Danio rerio: one gene and its partner. The protein of the gene in region 1 purifies or fractionates together with the protein of each later gene. This does not show direct contact. Links are inferred from orthologs where the notes say so. Each region holds a gene or a part of one and is shown on either strand. Other genes may lie near its edges. The genes, in order: junba and atf3.

Region 1 (9,975 bases):
TTATTATTATTAATAGCACTATTATTATTAATATTATTTGTCATTATTAATATTATTAATAATAGCACTTTTATTTGTAATATTATTTGTCATTATTATTATTATTATTAATAGCAGTATTATTATTAATATTATTTATCATCATTATTATTATTATTATTATTATTATTAGCACTATTATTATTAATATTATTTGACACTATTATTATTATTAGCACTATTATTATTAATATTATTTTCAAAATACTTTTTGTTGTTAATATTAATATTATTAATATTATTTTCATTATTGTCAATAGTAGTAGTAATACCACTATATTATTATGGTCACTATTCTTATTATATCACTATAACTGTTATATTACTATATTATATATTTATATTATTAATATTTTTACCATTAATATTGTCACTATTATCATCCTCATCATCATCACTTTTATTATCAATAGTATCATTATAATTATTATCAAAATGATTCCAGCATCACTGAAAATCCCCCTTTATTTTTAAGAGTGCATGCATCAAGTTTGAGAGACCGGCACAACTACACTAACATGCAGTCTGCATTAATATGTCAGATGAAGAACAGATAAAGAACAAATGAAGAACGTGCTCTCTGAATCTCACACTCTTGCGCCAGAGTGTTGTGTACGTGCTGCTATCTATCAGCCTTCTCCCCTCCTCCAGCGCTCCATGTGCGGGGGCGTCGCCGCTGGAATCAGGCCCACATGGGAGAGGTTTCCCGGTCCTACACTAAGGAGGAACTACACTGCGGTTTGCCCATATATGGGACTCATATCAGTTGCCAAATCCTGAGTCAGATCATTCCAGATCAATGCAGAGTTATGTTTACAGGTTATACTTTAGAGTACAAATCTCTAGTGTAAAACATCAGCAGTTTCTTTTTTTATGTTTCTACATATTTAGCTTTTGAATTGCATTATGGGATCTTTCTTTCAACAACTTTTAGCCATAACAAGTGGCTTTATTAACATTTCTAATAGTTTAAAGTGATATATTGTCTGGGTTGGTGTTGTATATTGTGTTACAAAAACCTCGTAATAAACTGCCAGTACATTTTCTTTGATTTATTTCTCTCAATATATTATTTCTTATTCATTATATTATTTCAAACTACACTGTAAAACCCCAAAAGTTAAGGTAACTCAAACCATTTAAGGTAACCTATTGCAACAAACTTGAGTTCAAAAACTAATCCTAATGAGTACTGTGAACTTACTCCATTTGAGTAAACGAAGCAATTTGATCACAGTAAAACCCAATAAATGAAGAGAACTCAAACCAACTGAGTACTGCAAAACTCAATGAGTTAAGGCAACTCAAACCGTTTGAAGAAACTGATTGCTACAAACCATTTGAGTTAAAAAACAAATCAATATGAGCACTTTACTCCATTTAAGTTGAATTAATGAGGTATTTAATTAACTCATTACCTTCAACCCTGAGTTCAAAACTATTTTCAAATGAGTTCTCTGTTAAAATAGTTGGGTTAAAAATACCCCAACATATAAATCAACTATAGGTTATTATAGCACCTTCCCAACTATGGGCTATTTTAACCCAAAGCATTGGGTTATTTTAATTAAATGTTATTTTTTCCATTCTGCTATTACTATTGAAGTACTACTTTTATTTTCTAACTATGGCTGTGAAAATTAATGAATCTCTCCGCTGGGTCCCAAAGGCAAGAATGGCAGGTGAAACTGATATAAAAAACATGACACAGAGAGTAATTTGATAAAAAATAACAATATTATTATGTTACAGCTTAAACTTCACAACGCAAAAACAACATTACTTGCGCATATTAATACAGCTCTTCTGTGTCAGTTAAATCAGTTGACTGTGGAAATTCAAAATTTTAACCCAACTAGTTGAGTTATTATTAAATAATCTAATAAAGGTTCAAATATATCTTAACAAAACATCAAATATTTACCCAACTGATTGAGTTATTATTAAATAATCTAATAAAGGTTAAAAAATATCCCAACAAAACATCAAATATTTACCCAACTGATTGAGTTATTATTAAATAATCTAATAAAGGTTAAAAAATATCTCAACAAAACATCAAATATTTACCAAACTGGTTGAGTTATTATTAAATAATCTAATAAAGGTTAAAAAATATCTCAACAAAACATCAAATATTTACCAAACTGGTTGAGTTATTATTAAATAATCTAATAAAGGTTAAAAAATATCTCAACAAAACATCAAATATTTACCAAACTGGTTGAGTTATTATTAAATAATCTAATAAAGGTTAAAAAATATCTCAACAAAACATCAAATATTTACCAAACTGGTTGAGTTATTATATAATAACCTAATAAAGGTTAAACGTAACCCAACAAAACATCAAATATTTACCCAACTGGTTGAGTTATTATTAAATAACCAAATAAAGGGTAAAAATAACCCAACAAAGCACCAAATATGTTTAACTCAACCATTGGGTTTAAGAAATAACTAAACGTTAAGAACGTGTAGAGTTAACTTTCAGTGAATTTTGAGTTAACTCCACTCATTTCATTTGATAAAGTTGACAAAAATGTCAATAAAAGTCACTTTGTTCAACTGCAGAGTTTAATTTTCAACATTAAAAGTCGACAGAGCAGATATCAACATCCCATAATGCAATTCACACCTATAAATAAACAGAAAACACACATGTGAATCACTAAATACAGTAACTGTTCATTAACACATTTTTATTTACAGTGAATTCTATGAGAAGGATCTATTATTATTACTAGTCATGTTTTATGTGTTATATGACTCAGTACTTAAAAAGCAGTCCAATTCAAATAGCTGATAAGCCCTTGTATGAATCTGTATTAGATATTCTCTTAATTACTTTTATTTTTATATTACTCACTATAGCCTTTCCTAGCATGTTTAACAATAAAGCACATTAACGGGATAGTTCACCCACAAATTATATGTCTGTCATCATTTACTCACCTTTTACTTGCTTCAAAACTTTTATGTTGAACAATGAAGAAGATATTTTGAAGAAAGCTGAAAAAATCTAACGGTTAAGAAAAACAAACACAATGGAAGTCAATGGGTTTCCAGCATTCCTCAAAATATCTTCTTCAGTGTTCAACATATAAAGAAAGGTTTGAATCCAGTCAGTAAATGATGACAGAATTGTAACTCTTGGGTGAACTAACCCTTTAATAGAGCTTCTCTTGATCATTGACGAGATGATGTGGTAGCTCAGACACATTTAACTTGGGCTGAAATCCCCCAATCTCAATCCTGCAATCCTGTATTTACTTAAATGGCCAGTTTAGATGCTCCACCTAAATTAAAGGAATATATTTAGAGCTTGACATTTAAAATAAATTCCAATTTCGTTTATATTAAAGAGCTCCTCGTATATTCTGCTTCAGATCTACGGAGATCACAGTATTGTGTTGGAACCTTTTGTTTCCATTTCGACAAGAATGTTTATTATTATTATTCACACGACATCCTCTAACGTAGTGTTTTTCTCAAGAGACCACAGTAGTGTTTCTGTTTTCATGGCCATGGGAAACTTTTCTTAAAAGTGCCGAGCTATTGCGGCCAGTTTTTGCTTCTTGTCTGTGGAAACAAAAATAGGAGCGCAGCGCTCGGTCTCCCTTTGCTCTCTCGCCTCCAGCGTTGTTTTCAATCTCAGCGCTTACTGGCAACAACGTCATCAACCCATCTGACAGCTCGAGGAGCGGAACGAACTCTCGTCCAATCAGCGGCCGCGATTATCTCAGCCACGCCCTCAGCATTTGGAGTATATAAGAATGAAGGCGCACTTATCATGATACTGAATGCGCGACGGGCCAGAAGAGCTGTTTGTAAATAACCGTCTGGGAAGACACTTTTTGGACGTCAGCTGTCGAGAGAAAACACCTGTCGAATTGGTACAGTAAACTATTTTGGAAGTTTCTTCTTTTTTTGCTCTCTTTTGCCTGATGTAATATAACGGAGAGAACTTGCGGACTTTAGTCAGCTTCAGTACGTCCCAACGTAATCTCTGTTCACATGTCAACAAAAATGGAGCAACCGTTTTATGACGACTCGTTTCTTTCTGCTTATGGTCATCCAGACGCTGCCCTGCACGACTACAAGCTCCTAAAGCAGAACATGAGCGTGAGCTTCGCCGAACCCTACCGGAACCTCAAGACCCTCCGCTCCGAAAGCGACTTCTACACGGCGGCGACCGGAGACGTGGGCTCGCTGAAACTCGCCTCTCCGGAGCTAGAGAGACTCATCATCCAGAACGGTAACGGCGTCATCACATCACCCACGCCGGGGCAGTATTTGTACGGTCGGAGCATCACAGAGGAGCAAGAGGGCTTCGCGGACGGATTCGTCAAAGCGCTGGACGAGCTCCACAAAATGAACCAAATGCCCCCGCCGAACGTGTCCATCGGAGCCCCCGGGGTGTCGAGTTGTTCGGTGGCGTCGTCAGTCTTCGGCGCCTCCTTACCGCCCGAGACTCCGGTGTACACCACCCTGAACAGCTGCAATCCTAACACTAACCTCACACCTGCAGCCAACTACCCGACAGCCACCATCAGCTACCTGCCTCACCATCACCACCACCAGCAGTACCACCACCATCACCACCAGCCCACGCCGCATCCTCATCACTTCCAGCACTCGCTCCATCCGCAGCGGCTCGTTACTCTGAAAGAGGAGCCACAGACCGTCCCCGACCTGCAGAGCAGCGATGGTTCTCCTCCCATGTCGCCCATCGACATGGAGGACCAGGAGCGCATCAAAGCGGAGCGCAAGAGGCTCCGGAACCGACTGGCGGCCACCAAGTGCCGGCGACGGAAGCTGGAGCGCATCTCCCGGCTGGAGGACAAAGTGAAAGTGCTCAAGTCGGATAACGCCGGACTGTCCAGCACTGCGTCCCTGCTGAGGGAGCAGGTAGCTCAGCTTAAGCAGAAGGTCATGACCCATGTGAGCAGCGGGTGCCAGCTGATGCTGACGCCGAAGATCAAGTCGTTTTAGGGGGGAGAGGGATGCTACGGACTCTGGGAAACACTGGAAGAGCAGATCCTGTTTGTGATGATGTTATTGTCGCAGCACTGAGTACGAGCGTTGTATATTTCTTAAGTGTTTTCTTGTAGAAAACTTTAATGTTATTGTTGTTTTCCAAAGATAAGGTACTTTCAGCCGAACGGACAATGGACTAAACTTTTGAAGTGAACAGTTTTGGTTTTGTTGTTAAGTGCTGCCCTTTGAAAACATTCCAGTAAGTTATTGATATTGTGAGTCAGGTTGAGCCAGACCTTTAACTGTTTTTCTGTTTGTTTGTTTTTGTTTATTTTTTATATTTAAGTAAAAATGTTGAAAATGATTCTACTGTTTGGGTTGTTTATTTCAAGCGTAGAGCAGAAACAAAGTTTATTCTGTAGCCTACGGCTTTAAAGTTACGTCGAAGACGTGCCCACGTTGGCTTTTTTTTTCCTGCTGACGCAAGGCCCATATATGGGCAGTTTTGGTCTATGTACGTCACTAAGGGTAGATTTCGGGAACCCCCGCCCACGCTACCGGTCAGGAAGTCCGCGCGCTTTCAACTCTGACGTTCGATGAATGGAGCGCGTGTGAACGAGAGAAAATTTAGCAACGCGGGATTTTCCCCGCGCGCACAAACCTTCCCAAAACAGTTTCAGCGAAAAGAAAACTAGAGATAAAAATATGAGCACGGGCATTTTCCAGGTACTTTGCAGAAAACGGAGCCGTCGCAAGCACAAAAATAGACAAACAGATCTCAGTAAATATAAGAGCAAGGCTTATAAACGAGAAGTGCCCACAGTGACTCCTTTATCAGCTATTTCCCGAAAACACACAGGCGGTAGATTAGCCGAACTGGCCATTAAAAACGCCAACCCTTTATTAAAATGTTAAATTCATTTGAATAATTCCTAAAATACTTAGATTTTAGGTGACAAAAAGAGGGTTATTTGTCCATTATGCTAATTACACCTTTCAGATGTTGAATGAATGGTTGTTTCGAGCCTCCTCACAGACTATAAACACACATCTACACTGAATTGTGCCGTAGAAAGTTCACTTAGCTACTTCAAATGTTTTCGCAGCGATGCAGTGTTAGAAATCTCTTCTTAAAAGAAGGCATCTTGCCTATTATATTTTCTTTTACAAAATCATCTGGAAAAGTACCCTATTCCACAATAAAGATCAATCTAAAAGTTTCTAGATTATAAAATAGCCTTTCATTTTAAAGAGCCAAGTCAACATTTTAAACCCAGGAATTTTTACTGGCAACATATGAAGTTAATAATTAACATTTTTAGCATATTTTTTAGTTTTGTAGTGGTCATTTTTGTCACCATAGTCTGAAACCAAGCTAATACACGTTATAAACATTTAGATTTTTAAATAAGGTAAAGCAAAGGGACAAGACAGACAAGAAAATGAGTGAATGAATAAGGTAAAGCTTGAGATGACAGGATAATAACACGGCACACTTTATATTATAATATCTGTTATATTTAAAAAAAAAAAAAAAAAAGTATAACATTTTATTAAGGCAGAATTTACCTTTTTCATGGACACAGAAATGAGCCCTGGCCTTTAAATAATAAGAAAACACGGGGATGTTGTAAACAAAATTACAGATTTAAGCAATAAAGACAATTCTAGGAGATTAACTAAATTACTATTTATGTCTGAGCTGGTTTAAAATTCAGTGTAAAATAACCACAGAATTTACGAATCACTTGTTTAAGCAAGTACACATTCACTCAGTCCTGAACACGAGATTTGCCAAATATTTATTAAAATTGTTTTGGGTTTATGTAGAAAAGTGATTCCTGCTTCATTACAGCTGAATCAATGAGGACTCCAGAGCTGTAACTCTGTCCTAACTATAATGAAACACTGCCACCTGCAGGGCAGATTTGTTAATATTCTGTTAATTTTGACTTCCACCAAAAATATTGTAATGTCATTATCAGAGAAAATACGTTTGACTTCGCCTGCTACCTTTAATCTTAATAACTTTATATTCTTAAACAAGCATTTTAATCAGGGTGTGAATCATTTAGGCCTATGTTCGATAGCGTATTACACGCTTCAGTGAATCAAATGTCTGTTTTATATATTTATATAATAATATATGTTTTATATATTCATTTTAATTACGTATATTTTAATAATAAAACATAAGTCTTCAGTGTTTTAAAGGATATTTAGCGTATTCTAACTTATAGTGACTCGATTAGTCGTTTCAGGGGTTACTTTAGGTCAATCTATATAACTCAATTGACTTTAGTTTTAAGTTATATACAGACACAAACATATATTCTACTTAAAACAAGTGTCTTTTAAACACTTACGATGTCTGTAGCTGCTGAAGACCTGCCAGTTTCAGACTATCGTCGAGTGAATGTTTTTTCCTCACAGAGTGTTTGGCGCGCTTGCCTTCACAATGGTATGAACCGTTATAGGGGTGGTAAAATGTATATTTATACTATTAATTGAATTATAATATTATATAAGATACTATGGAGGGAGAAAGGGAGAAACCTGCAAAAACAATAAAATAAAAAATAAATAGCAAATTAACTAAATAATAAATCCACAAATTCCTGCATAAATAAAACAATAAATCAATAAATATGCAAATTTATCCCAAAGTCCTGCCTAAATAAAACACTAGCCAAATAAATAAGTAAATAAATTAATAAATTCCTGCATAAACAAAGCAATAAATTAATAAATATCCAAAAAATAACTTAATGTATATAAAACACAAATTCCTGCATAAATAATTGTTTAAATAGTACAGGCAGATTAAAAATAAATTACACAGATGTTGGGGGAATAAGAAAATGCTTAACTGAACGTGGATTTCTCCCCCTTTCAAACTACTATTAATTATGCACAAATTTGTAGATTTTATACATTTAATTGTGTATTTATTTAATGTTTTATTTATGCAAGAATAAATATTTGTTTGCGTAGGTATTTATTTATTGTTTTATTTATGCAGGAATGTGTATGTATTTATTTATTCATTTATTTGCATATTTCTTTATTGTTTTGCAGGTTTTGTTCTCCATACCCACACTATTATTCATTTCAATATTTATTTATGCAACATTTTTAAAAAAAATTTTAAAATACACTCATTTGGATATTTATTTAAGGTTTTATTTATGCAAGAATTTATTGATTTATTTACTCATTTAATTTTTGCCTATTTATTAAATTTGTTTTCGCAGGTTTAGTTTCATGAATTATCATGCAATTTCATGATATGCATTTATCTCTCAAATTCTGTTCCATCTATTATAATTCTAATATTAAAACATGAAGAAAACACTACTGTGTCCTTCTGCATTTAAAATTCGGTTTACCATGCCATTACCATACCTTCTAAACTAATTAAATGTTTAATTTGAGGTCAACCATCCATTAAGTAGCAAGCACAATAAGACAACTGCAACATTCAGCAATAACAGCCTGTTTATTTAACAGAGATATTGACAAAATCACCAGAATGCCAACAACTTGAGAGAATTTAAAACCAGCTATGTTCACAGAGTACCAAATATGCAATGCAGACTAACTAGCTGAACACAAACTACAGATATTTCAGTGCATGAGAGACGCGGGCTGAAACGGCTTCTTCAGACAGAAATCAGACTAACTAGTGCATTTAACCTGTGTTTGTTACGATGGCTAAATCAACTTTTCTAGACCCCCTCAGGCTGAATTTAAGTGCTTCAACAGCCCAGTGAATGCAGAAATAGAGACTGTTACTGCTTGGAGAAAAACTCCTTGCTCTTCTGCACGTCGGGAACGATGGTGTCACTTCCTGGCTTCCATCCAGCAGGACAAACTAAAGGAGAAAGCATAAGAAGTTATAATAAGTGATTTTGGCGCCCTCTTGTGTCATGCATAAAGTATTACATCAGTTACAGTTCAAAAAGTAGGGAGTCTTTAAGATTTCTACTGTTCTTTAAATATTTGTATAATGTTCACAAAGCTGAACTTACGAATATTAAATGCAAAAAAAAACTTTCATACTTCAATTAAAAATAACTGATTTCTATTCAAATGTTTTAAACTTATTTCTGTCTCGCAAAGCAGGATTTTCAGCATCATTGTCGTCTTCACAGTCACATGATCATTGAAGAAAAACTAGCACCGATAGCAATTTTCTTGGATGATTCAGATTCCCAATTTTTTTTTTAAATATACAAAAAAAAAAAAATTCTGAAAAAAAAAACAACAGAAATATAAAAATCTGACAAGACTCCAAGTTAAATTTTGCATGAACCAGAGGAATTAAGATGTTAATTCAAATAATGCGAGATGAAATGAACAAATTCTTGACGTATTGAGCATTACAGTCATGTGACCAGTCAGCTGTCTCCATTATGCTTTGTTTACTTTTGGTTGCTAGGTTACCAATACCACAGTTGGCCACTTTAACAACCTGATAGTGCTTAACCCAGTTTACTGACAAATTAAAAGTCCTTCCGCATATACGCCATTAAATAGAAGACCAGCCGGTCATCGTTTAGGCCGATCATGAGGAAATGTCAGCTGATTACAATCCCTGGCCAGTCAAGAGAAAAAAAAACCTGATTCATATAACGCACATTAGTCGCACTTTTGGAGTCACAAAGGTGCATGTGCAGGCAACTTTTTCACTTCATAAGACCTCAATGCATGGTCAGCAGTCAGAGGTGTTCATTATGTTTTGCCTGTATGCATTTTTTTTTACTCTAAAAGTGGTGGTTGATGCTGACCTGCATTTAATGAAACCAGCAAGAACCACAATTGCATTTAAAAATCTTCTTTAAAATGTTCTGAGATAAAAAAAAGGTGGAGGGGAGAGAAAACCTAGATGGAATGACTATAAAAAAATATTAAAATCATTTGTTTTCATTTTTATAGGTTACTTTCTTCTAAATC
Region 2 (10,651 bases), on another chromosome or scaffold:
CTCAAATGGAGTAAGTTCACAGTACTCAGTTTTTGAACTTAAATGGTTTGTTGCAATCGGTTTTCTGAAATGGTTTTAGTTACCCTAACTTTTTGGGTTTTACAGAGTAGAGTGTACATAAAACACAAATGTATCTATTGCTTCATAAATATATATGTACACATATTTGAATCAGTTAAAATGTATATTTTAATATTTACTCAAATGTATTTATTGCTTTAAACTTAAAAAAAAAATCCCATATGTTGATGGATATCAACAAAACAACAACAGCAATTTCGCTATATAGTTAATATTCATGTATATTTTTATATTTACACGAATTATTGCTTTATATAAATGTACACATATTTGAATCTTTTAAAGTGTATATTCTAATATACACTCAAATGTATTCATATACACATATTTAAATCAGTTAAAATATAATTTAAATCAATCCGTGATGCAGAAATACACTGTAAAAAAATCCTGGTTGCCTTAAATTGTTAAGCTGAATCAAATTCATGAGTCAATTGAACTGATATTATGTTAAACTGACTTAAAACAGCTTAATAACTTATACAATTAAGCTAGAACATGATTAGCTTAGTTTATGAAGTTACAATGAACTAAAAACATATGCTGTCAGGACTAATTGATCAAATGATTTTTTAAAGTTTAGCAAATGACTTCTCTTTTAAAACGTGACCATGTTTTCTTGTCGAAAATCAGATTAGACCAACAATAAAGATACAGACAGTTGAGTCAAAATGAAACAAAAAAAAATCTTTGCATCAAAAAGAAAGTGAGGGAAATGCAAACTCTGCTGTTTACACACCGTTATCTTTCTGTTCCTAAACTCAAACTTGGCACATTTTTGTTGACAGACAGACAACAATCAACAAGTAACAGATGGAAAAGTGAAATCACTTCTCCTGAAACTTCTAGTGTATTAATAGCTAACAGGTCAATATTGACATCATAACAGCTGTATCCATGTATCCCAGACAGAAAATGGCTGCGGGCATTCAAACACCTGTTTGACTTCATACGATGAACTCTATGACGTGACTCTGCCCTGCCAGATATGATAAAGAGATGATAAGATGGGTAATATACTGCTATATTAAGCTCTGTGTACTGTTTTAGATATAGATCATTCGCACGGGGCCACGTATGTCCGCTATGGCTGAACACATACAGTTGAAGTCAGAATTATTAAACCCCCTGAATTATTAGCTCCCTGTTTATTTTTTCCCCCAATTTCTTTGTAAGGGAGATAAATTTTTTTTCAACACAAACATAATAGTTTTAATAACTCCTTTATAATAACCGATTTATTTTATCTTTGCCATGATGACAGTAAATAATATTATACTAGATATTTTTCAAGACACTTCTATACAGCTAAAAGTGACATTTAAAGGGTTAACTGGGTTAATTAGGGTAACTTGGCAGGTTAGGGTAATTAGACAAGTTATTGTATAAAGATGGTTTGTGCTGTAGACTATCGAAAAAATATATCTCATAAAATGTTAGAAACTTTTGTACAAAAAATCCATGTTTAAAAAAAAATATTTGATAGTATTGGGCAATTAAAATCAAAGCATGTTGCAAATGTTGCAAGAGCTTTTCTCAGAACTAAATAACTTCCCGTTTCTTAGCCGTTTGCTTTTTCATTTTTGTTTTTTTTATGATTAATAACCAGCTAGAATCAAGGTGATTTTCTAGTTACAATAAATAAATAAATAATGAATAAAAATATAAGAAAAAATAAGAAAAGAATCTCTCTTGTACATTTTGGGGTCATTATATCATTATTTTTTATGTTTTCAGATATAAGTGTATGTGGTTTGTTGTTAATATCCATTTTTGACATTTCCTAATAGATAATAAGTAAAAATAGAAAAAAAAACTTCTTCATATAATTAAAAGTAATAAATAAATAAATAAAAATAATAAATAAAATAAGAATGGAAAATATAATAAACATATTTCTTTAGTCCTACCTTGTATTTTGGGGTCGTTATATCTTTATTTTTTAATGTTTTCAGATATTAGTATATGTGGTTTGTTGTTAATATCTATTTTTGACTTTTCCTATTAGCTAATAAGTAAAAATAGATAATAAATGAAAAACTTCTTCATATAATAAAATAAATAATATATTCTCATATGTTGGTGGATATCAACAAAACAACAACAGCAAATTTGCTATATAATAGTTCATATAGAAGTATTAACCCAGATTTAAACCAGACCTATTATTCTCTTGAGAAATACAAATACTTGTTTGGACTTTGTGTCATGTTTAGACACGACTCCTTGGTAACATTATTTAGTGTCCAAGCACAAATGTATGTAATAAAGGAGTGTTTTATTGGTGATTGCACCAGGACGGTGAGGAGAGATTACTGGAAATTTCCAGAACACATAGGAAAGAGTGTGGACTGGGCTGTGTAATAATGAACAGCTACGGCAAGAAAGCTGTGCTTCACATTGAAAAGAGGAATGCAGACACTGCTGACGACCCACTCCCTTAAAACATCACCAAATCACTGCGTTAAATATTGAATTGAAAGGAAAGTGAAATAGAAAAACATGAGAAAGATAACAAGCCTATCACTAATTTTACTATATATTTATTAAGCAAACTTTTATTTTATAGTGTTTTGTTACATATTAGATGTACCAAAACTAATTAAGAAAAAAACTTACTCATATCCACCAACTTATTAGTTTAGACAGACAGACAGACAGACAGACAGACAGACAGACAGACAGACAGACAGACAGACAGACAGACAGACAGACAGACAGACAGACAGACAGACAGACAGACAGACAGACAGACAGACAGACAGACAGACAGACAGATAGATAGATAGATAGATAGATAGATAGATAATATTTATAGATAGATTTGTTTTAGTGTTCTTTTTAGACAGAATATGCCTAAAAATAAATTAAATGCATAATTATTTGCAAATAAAATGAACCTTAAATTAATTTTACTCAGTACTTGATATAATGTATAATTAAAAGTAACAAGGATGCTCAAATAAAGTGTAATAAATCGAATTAAACTTTTAAAGTTGAATACACTCAAATATTCAACCCTCTAAAAACTGAAAACCTCTAAATGTCATGTTACAATATTACATAACAATAATTAAATTATTATTAAATGATAAAATCCTAAATTCAGTCAGAAACAAACCAACTAAATTCAAACGCCATAAAAGATATTCAAAGCTGTTTTTTCCCTGAGCCAGTGGACATTTAAAACCAAATTTAAAGCTTTTAAAAAAACAGCCATATACACACTGACCTTGGCTTCATCTCTCCATCTCTTCATAAAAATACTAATAAAAAAAAGACATAAACAAGAAAACATAGGCTAAGTGTTTTTAACTTAACAGACCAAGAGGGATTTTATATGCTCTCTTTCAAACCAAGCAGACAGTCTGTCAGTCAGTCAGTCAAACTCTCTCTCTTTCTCATATCTCTTTTTTCAAAACTATTCGGCACATGACATTAGAGCATACCAGAGATGGCCTGTCATTACACGAGTATATGTCTTTATTTGCTCATTAGGTTAACATGCCAGCTCGTCAGCTTCACTATTGTGAGGGAGGGCGGGAGTTTGCCCAGTTATGGTGCGCGGCGGAGAGGGTTGCCTGATTGCATCATCGCGAAAGGACAGCGCCGCTGATGCTATAAATAGGGTGACGTCACTCGCCCCGCCCCTAGTAGTAGTTCACGTCCTCCAGCCATAAAAAGGGGTGATGCAACGAGCCGGCGACAACTGTAACTTTAGCAGCTGAGCGCGAGAACAGTCCGGCATCAGGAGAGCATCACAAACACACGCGCCTACATTTATTTACACACAACCAGGTAAGAGACGGCATTGTAGATTTCCTATTCATCGCTATTCTGGAACACGCTGTGGGAAAACGTCTATGGTGTGCTTGGTTTGGGCTACTAAAGGGAGATTTTTGCGTTTATGGGTCAAGCGATTGTATTTAGGTTTGAGTTAACGAACTCTTTTTTAACGAACTTTTATTTAGCTATAATGTATGTGCATTACTGTTTTTTTGCGTTAATATTTGTTCGATATTTATTAAAATTGGATTAAAACTGATTGATTTAAGTTCTCCTGTTTTCAAATTGTTTAACCGACAATGTTACGTCAGTAAGTTTACTTCATCGACAATGTGTAACACGAATACAACTCATGAAATAGTTAAAGATTATGATTTCATATAGCCTACTCTGTATTGAAAACCTGTCACTTAAATGTTAAAATATTAGGACTAATAAGGTTCTTAATCAATATTTGATGGTTTAGATTATTCTGTTTGCGAGTTGTTACTGTAGGCTATAATGTATTTGTACAGTAGTACACATACATTAGCAAAACGTTTGTTGAAATGAATGTTTATGACAAAAAAAAGCGATAGCATACTGTATAAAGAGAGCAAAACGTCTATAATACGTCATTGTAAAAGCAAAATATTGACAGCTGTGGTAGCCAGAACCTATGAAAACCCCTATAAATACTGTAATAATGTAACGAGTAAGATTGCACTTTAATAATTGTAAGTTGTACAGTTTCTATCTATAATTGAATGGTAACGTTAATGTTTATTTACATTATTTATTCCTTTAAAAAGGATTAAAACCGATTGATACGAATACAACTCATTAAATAGTTAAAGATTATAACTTTACTATTTTACACTGTACTACAAACCTGTCAGTCAAATGTTTAAAATATTATTATTAATATGAAATTGTTCATTAATATTTGATGGGTTTAGATTATTCTGTTAGCTAGTCGTTACTTTATGTATTCCTGTCTAGTCATACACATAAAATAACAAAAAAGTGTGTTAAAATGAGTGTTTATGACAAAAAAAGCGATATACTGTGTAAAGAGAGTAAAACATCTATAATACGTCACTGTAAAAAAATATATATATATTGACAGCTGTGGAAGCTGGGAGCTTTTAAATTACGGTTGTCATTGTAAGATTGATTGAGAATGACATGTGGTAAAAATTGTTAGCCAAATTACTTTCTGCTCATGATATCTAGCCTTTTATTAGCCAGTTGTGTCTGTATAATATAATATAATATAATATAATATAATATAATATAATATAATATAATATAATATAATATAATATAAAAACTTTAAAAACATAAACCATAAACGTAACATAACAAAATTTAACAACACAAGAACTTGTGACTACAATATTCTCCCTTAATCAAAACTTTATCACTTTAAAATCTCTTATTACTTAAAATCACTTATCACTTTAAAATGCATATCATTTAATGAATTTAATATTATATTAATCACCTTGTTAAATGTAATATTTATATAAATATCATAAATGACAATAATATTTAACAAGGAATATATATTTTAATTACAATAACTGTATAACTATTGTTTATATAGTTTATTATTATTAACAAATTATAACTGATGGTATATAATTATAACATTATGCAATTAAACACTTTTATTTCTAAAATACAATATTTAATGATCATTTTTAAATGTTGTTTTTGTTACAATTTAATTAATGGGTCTTACTCTATAAATCTGATGTTCTTAATCATTTTCTAACTATAACACAGTTATTTCAGTAGTTTTATAGAGAAAGGTGTAACATTTTTACTTGTTTATTTATTTATCTATCTTACCATTTTCCTCGTTAACATCATGATTTAACTGTTGTTTTGTATTTTTTTAGATTTCGGCATGATGCTTCAGCACCCTGGTTTGGGTCCGTCAGAGATCAGTGCATCAGCTTTGGTTCCCTGTCTCTCTCCGCCCGGCTCCCTCACGCTGGACGACTTCACAAACTTCACTCCATTAGTGAAAGAGGAGCTGCGCTACGCCATCCAGAACAAACGCATGTCCAACGGCATGAGCACCCTGACCACTGACAGAGCCTGCATGAACACTGAGAGACCCACCGAACTACCTGGGATGAAGCGAGAGGTAAGACCCACTCATTTACTGGCACAAATGTTTTTTTTTTTTTTAAGTGTAATTTCTCATATTTCACATTGGTTATATTGAGTAACGTGGACGTAGAAAAGCCATGCTTGCACAATTCACTTGTTCATCCACTTGTGGGCATTTTAGGTAGTTTGGCTTTCCCAAATTGTTAGATGTTGTTATTTCAGGCTGTCCCAGAGGAGAACGACCGAAGGAAAAGAAGAAGGGAAAGAAACAAAATTGCAGCAGCAAAATGTCGGAACAAGAAAAAGGAGAAAACCGATAATTTACAAAAGGTATTACTTGTTATTTAGCATTTGATTAAAAAACGTAACATTTATATGAACATATATTATATCTGTTATTTTTTATTATTGATCTTTTTTGCTATTTTTAACTGTATTTGATTACATTATATCTATTACATCTACAGTTGAAGTCAGAATTATTAGGCCCCTTTAATTAATTAATGTTTTTTTAATTTTACAAATGATGTTTAACAGAGCAAGGAAATTTTTACTGTATGTCTGATAGTATTTTTTCTTCTGGAAAAAGTCTTATTTGTTTTATTTTGAGTAGAATAAAAGCATTTTTAATTTTTAAAAAAAACATTTTTAAGGTCAAAATTATTAGCCCCTTTAAGCTATATTTTTTACAGAACAAACCATCATTATACAATAACTTGCCGAATTACCCTATCCTGCCTAGTTAACCTAATTAACCTAGTTAAGCCTTTAAATGTCACTTTAAGCTGTATAGAAGTGTCTTGAAAAATATCTAGTCAAATATTATTTACTGTCATCATGGCAAAGATAAAATAAATCAGTTATTAGAAATGAGTTATTAAAACTATTATGTTTAGAAATGTGTAAACTCTCCATTAACCAGAAATTGGGGAAATATTAAACGGGGCCAATAATTCTGACTTCAACTGTACCTAGTATAGATGGAGTAAATAAAGTTAAAATAGTCTTTAAAAAAAGTTCTGAACTATAAAGTTCATTATAGAGTTTTTTATATTATGTTAATAAGTCATGCTATATATTTATTAGTGCTGTCGAAGAATTAATGGTTATTTATCACATCCAACATAGTTTATGTGTACTTGGTGTGTATAAATATTATATGAAATTAGAAGTGAAAATAATAATATTGAATAAAAACTCTGACAGCTGTTGTTAACAATAAAACTCACGTGATTCAAACATTAAAGCCAGATAAAAAAAAGTTTAATTTCTCTAATTTCTTTTCGGCTTAGTCCCTTAATTATTCATGGGTTGCCACAGCGGAATGAACCACCACCTTTTCCAGCACATGTTTTACGCAGTGGATGCCCTTCCTGCTGCAACCCATCTCTGGGAAAGGCAGTAAAAATAAAACATTAAATAAATAAATAAAATGACACAATATTTTTTTGCTTTGTCTATGACAATTACACATTTATCACACTTTCAACAGGGTTTTTACAGGTTTTATTAAGTCAAATTTAAGACTTTTTAAGACCATAATAAATGAAATTTCCGACTTACACTTACACAAAAGTTAAAACCTTAAAAAAAAAACATTAAAAACAAATGTCATTGTAAGGAAGATAATTAAACCATATTTAGTGAATTGAGTTAATAGATAAACGTTTCTTAAAACTTTTATTAATGTAAATTGTTGGTGGGTGGGTGTTGGCCCAATTAGGTATAGATTTACATAGACAAAGAAAAATTAAGACTCGTTTAAAATGATTTAAGACCTACAACACAATAATGCTAGTGGATTGAAGACTTTTAAAGGCCTAAAATTTGGGTTTTTAAATGTAAGAATTTTAAGACTTAAGACCCCGCAGATACTGTTTCAGGTTATTTTGAGTAAATAAATTAACTGGCGCCCAATTAAATTAATTAGTTTAATTATGTTTTCCTCTTTATTTTATATTAATCACAATTAAGCTCTAAAAACTCAAGAAACTCATGTATGTTCTTGTTTTGACTTTAGGAGTCTGAGAAGCTTGAGTCCATCAATGCAGAGCTGAAAGCTCAGATCGAGGAGCTGAAGAACCAAAAGCAGCAGCTTGTTTACATGCTCAACCTGCACAGGCCCACCTGCATCGTCCGCGCTCAGAACGGCCAGACCCCCGAAGACGAGAAGAAGCTTTTCATCCAACAAATCAAAGAATCCACACTCCAGGGGCTGGGTTTTGCCACCAATGGACCAACACACACCGCCATACCAACCAGCTGTGGGCATCTGTGAATCACAAACTCTCCAGGCAAACAAGCTAACGGCTCGCCAAGGAACACTGGAAGGTTTGCCCAAGTAAAAACAAAAAAGGACTAAACACGGGTGCCTGCCATGCTGCCAATTAAGGTCGGTCTGATGTACACTGAAAGAGACTAAAAGCACTAAAAGTGTTGAAGGACATTCAATGCGTTTTCACTTAGTTATTTAAATGTGTTCGTCATTGTACTGTTTAACATGATATGCTTGTTTTTCGTATGCACCACCAAAGCTTGATGTCATGTTGCTGCTGCTAGAACAGCATGATTTCATTTATTTATCAGCTTGTTTGTTGAATGAAACCCTGGCGGTGTGTGTTTGATGGCAAGTGCTGTTCTAGTGAGGGGAATATATGTGTGTTTTTGTTTTTGATTTCTTGGCAAGATATACAGGGTGATGAATGAAGTTCAGTTACATATTTATCTATGGCCTTTACCTTGTTAAAGGGATATTTCAGCTCAAAATGAACATTTTCTTACTTGTTGCTTCTGTTGAACACAAAAGAAGATATTTTGAAGAATGTATATGGCCATTTTTCCTATTAGTTCAATGGCTACTGAATTCCAACTGTCTTCAAAATGCCTTCTTAGGAGTTCAACAGAAAAAAAAAACTGCTGATCAATCTGAGGGTGAGTAAATGTACATTGTTGGGTGAACTATCCCTTTATAGTTATTATGTGTCCACATAACATGCCACAAGAAGTATTTCAAGCTGCTACTAATCTCTCAGGACTCGGTCTATATATTATACAGGAAACACAAACTGAATAAACAGATAAAATTACAGGGAAGTGGACGTGGAGATGACAAGGTGTCCTGCACGGTACTTACAAGGAAGTTCTTCGCCACTGCTACCACCTCAATGTTGTTACGATGCTGTGAGCAGGAAGGTCTGAATTTGTCAGTCCACTGTGAACACAAACACACACACACACACACACACATACTCAAAAAAAGTGTTTTTTGTTTATTTCTGATGTCACATTTTTCATGTATTGTAGTTGTGTTGTTATTGTGTAGATGCTATACTCTCAGCTAACAAGTTTATGTTAAAGCTGTGCACAAACACTCGTCGAATCACATTAATTGAATGTTCAATTTAATATGTGCTCAAATTCTTATATGCGAAAAATCTTTTCTTAAAGATTACTACCTGATGCTTGTTTCAGAATTAACGTTCTTATATGGTTTGCACTTTGAACATTCCATTAATGTTTTCTTTAACGTTTGACTAACTTCTTTAAGAAAATAGAGAACCTGAAAAACATTCTTAGGACATATTTTGTTAGCTGGGATTATTCTATAGAGAGAGAGAAACAAAAAACTTGAAGTAAAGCTCTTATTATTTGTCTGGCTTTGTTCCTAGATCATGTGTCAAGCACTTTTAGTGTCACACCACGTTGTTAGTGAAGAAACACACACCACAAGACATCTGATCAGCCCTGTGACTGCATTGCCTAATATTACAGAAAGGTGTACAGAAAGGGAAAATCAATCACTCCATTTCTACTAAACTAAGGAAAACACCAAATCTTCTCATAATATTTTCCCTTATGTTTTTGAGCATGGTCTCCGTTTATGTTCTGTCATGTACTGAAATTTTAAGTGACGCAGGCGTCATCTAGTTTGTTTGTTTCCCTTCTTTTTTGTTTGTATTTGTGCAAAACAGGCATGCCACTTAATGTGGTACTACTGACATTAAATGTATAGTTAAAAACAAAGCTATGCTTCCAATTTGTGGTTAAACCAGATTTCACCCATCATGTCAATGCTGTTGATGTCAATAAGTGCAATTGCTTCCAAAAGTCATGATTGAGAAGATGATAGCCTGTCAAATTCAATTAACTATTTATACGAAATATGTATGGCTTCATTTTGACTGTCTGTTGTTTGTTTTTGATACTTTATTAATAAAAAAGCTATACCACTTGAGTCATTTTACACTGGTTTTATTTAAGACAGCTGTGACTGAAACAATTTGATTGCATCACAAGAGGAAACACCTGCACATTGTTGCTTTATAAAGAGTATTTGACGTGTTCAAAAAGCATAACCATTTATAGTTGTCAAGTGTCAAGGAATTTGTGGTAGGGCAAGTCTACACATGCCAAACCTGAGATACGTGCTGAGTATAACCCTTAGTTCAATCGAGTTCATCCTGTCAGAGAGCAATGATTCAGCATTTTTTATTTTTTTTTGCAGATTTTTCTAGTTCTTTTTAAGCAGAGGGTTTTGAGAGGGACATTTAAGTCTTGGAAATGATTTAGGGTGAGAGTGGCATCAGGAAACGTTCCAAAATTCCTTGGGATTGTTCCAGATGTGAAATTCTGTGGAAACCACAAGGATACTACAGAACTCTTGGCAGTACCTGAGCTTTGG

Evidence for each region.
Region 2: the proteins of junba (region 1) and atf3 purify together in Homo sapiens (affinity purification with mass spectrometry; 3 studies listed by BioGRID and IntAct, counting the BioPlex papers as one, with this or other methods). This does not show direct contact. The link is inferred for Danio rerio from reciprocal best matches to the Homo sapiens genes JUNB and ATF3.

The regions. Positions count from the first base shown.
Region 1 is NC_133176.1:55,051,459-55,061,433, reverse strand, and holds junba (junB proto-oncogene, AP-1 transcription factor subunit a), read left to right. Parts: upstream 1-3,831; 5' UTR 3,832-3,935; exon of another isoform or gene 3,936-4,056; coding exon of another isoform or gene 4,057-4,158; coding exon 4,159-5,034; 3' UTR 5,035-5,383; downstream 5,384-9,975. Other genes in the region: prdx2 (peroxiredoxin-2), read right to left, coding at 8,811-8,893. UniProt on the Homo sapiens protein: Transcription factor involved in regulating gene activity following the primary growth factor response. Binds to the DNA sequence 5'-TGA[GC]TCA-3'.
Region 2 is NC_133195.1:41,073,436-41,084,086, forward strand, and holds atf3 (cyclic AMP-dependent transcription factor ATF-3), read left to right. Parts: upstream 1-3,788; 5' UTR 3,789-3,879; intron 3,880-5,753; 5' UTR 5,754-5,761; coding exon 5,762-6,004; intron 6,005-6,151; coding exon of another isoform or gene 6,152-6,192; coding exon 6,193-6,300; intron 6,301-7,990; coding exon 7,991-8,248; 3' UTR 8,249-10,204; downstream 10,205-10,651.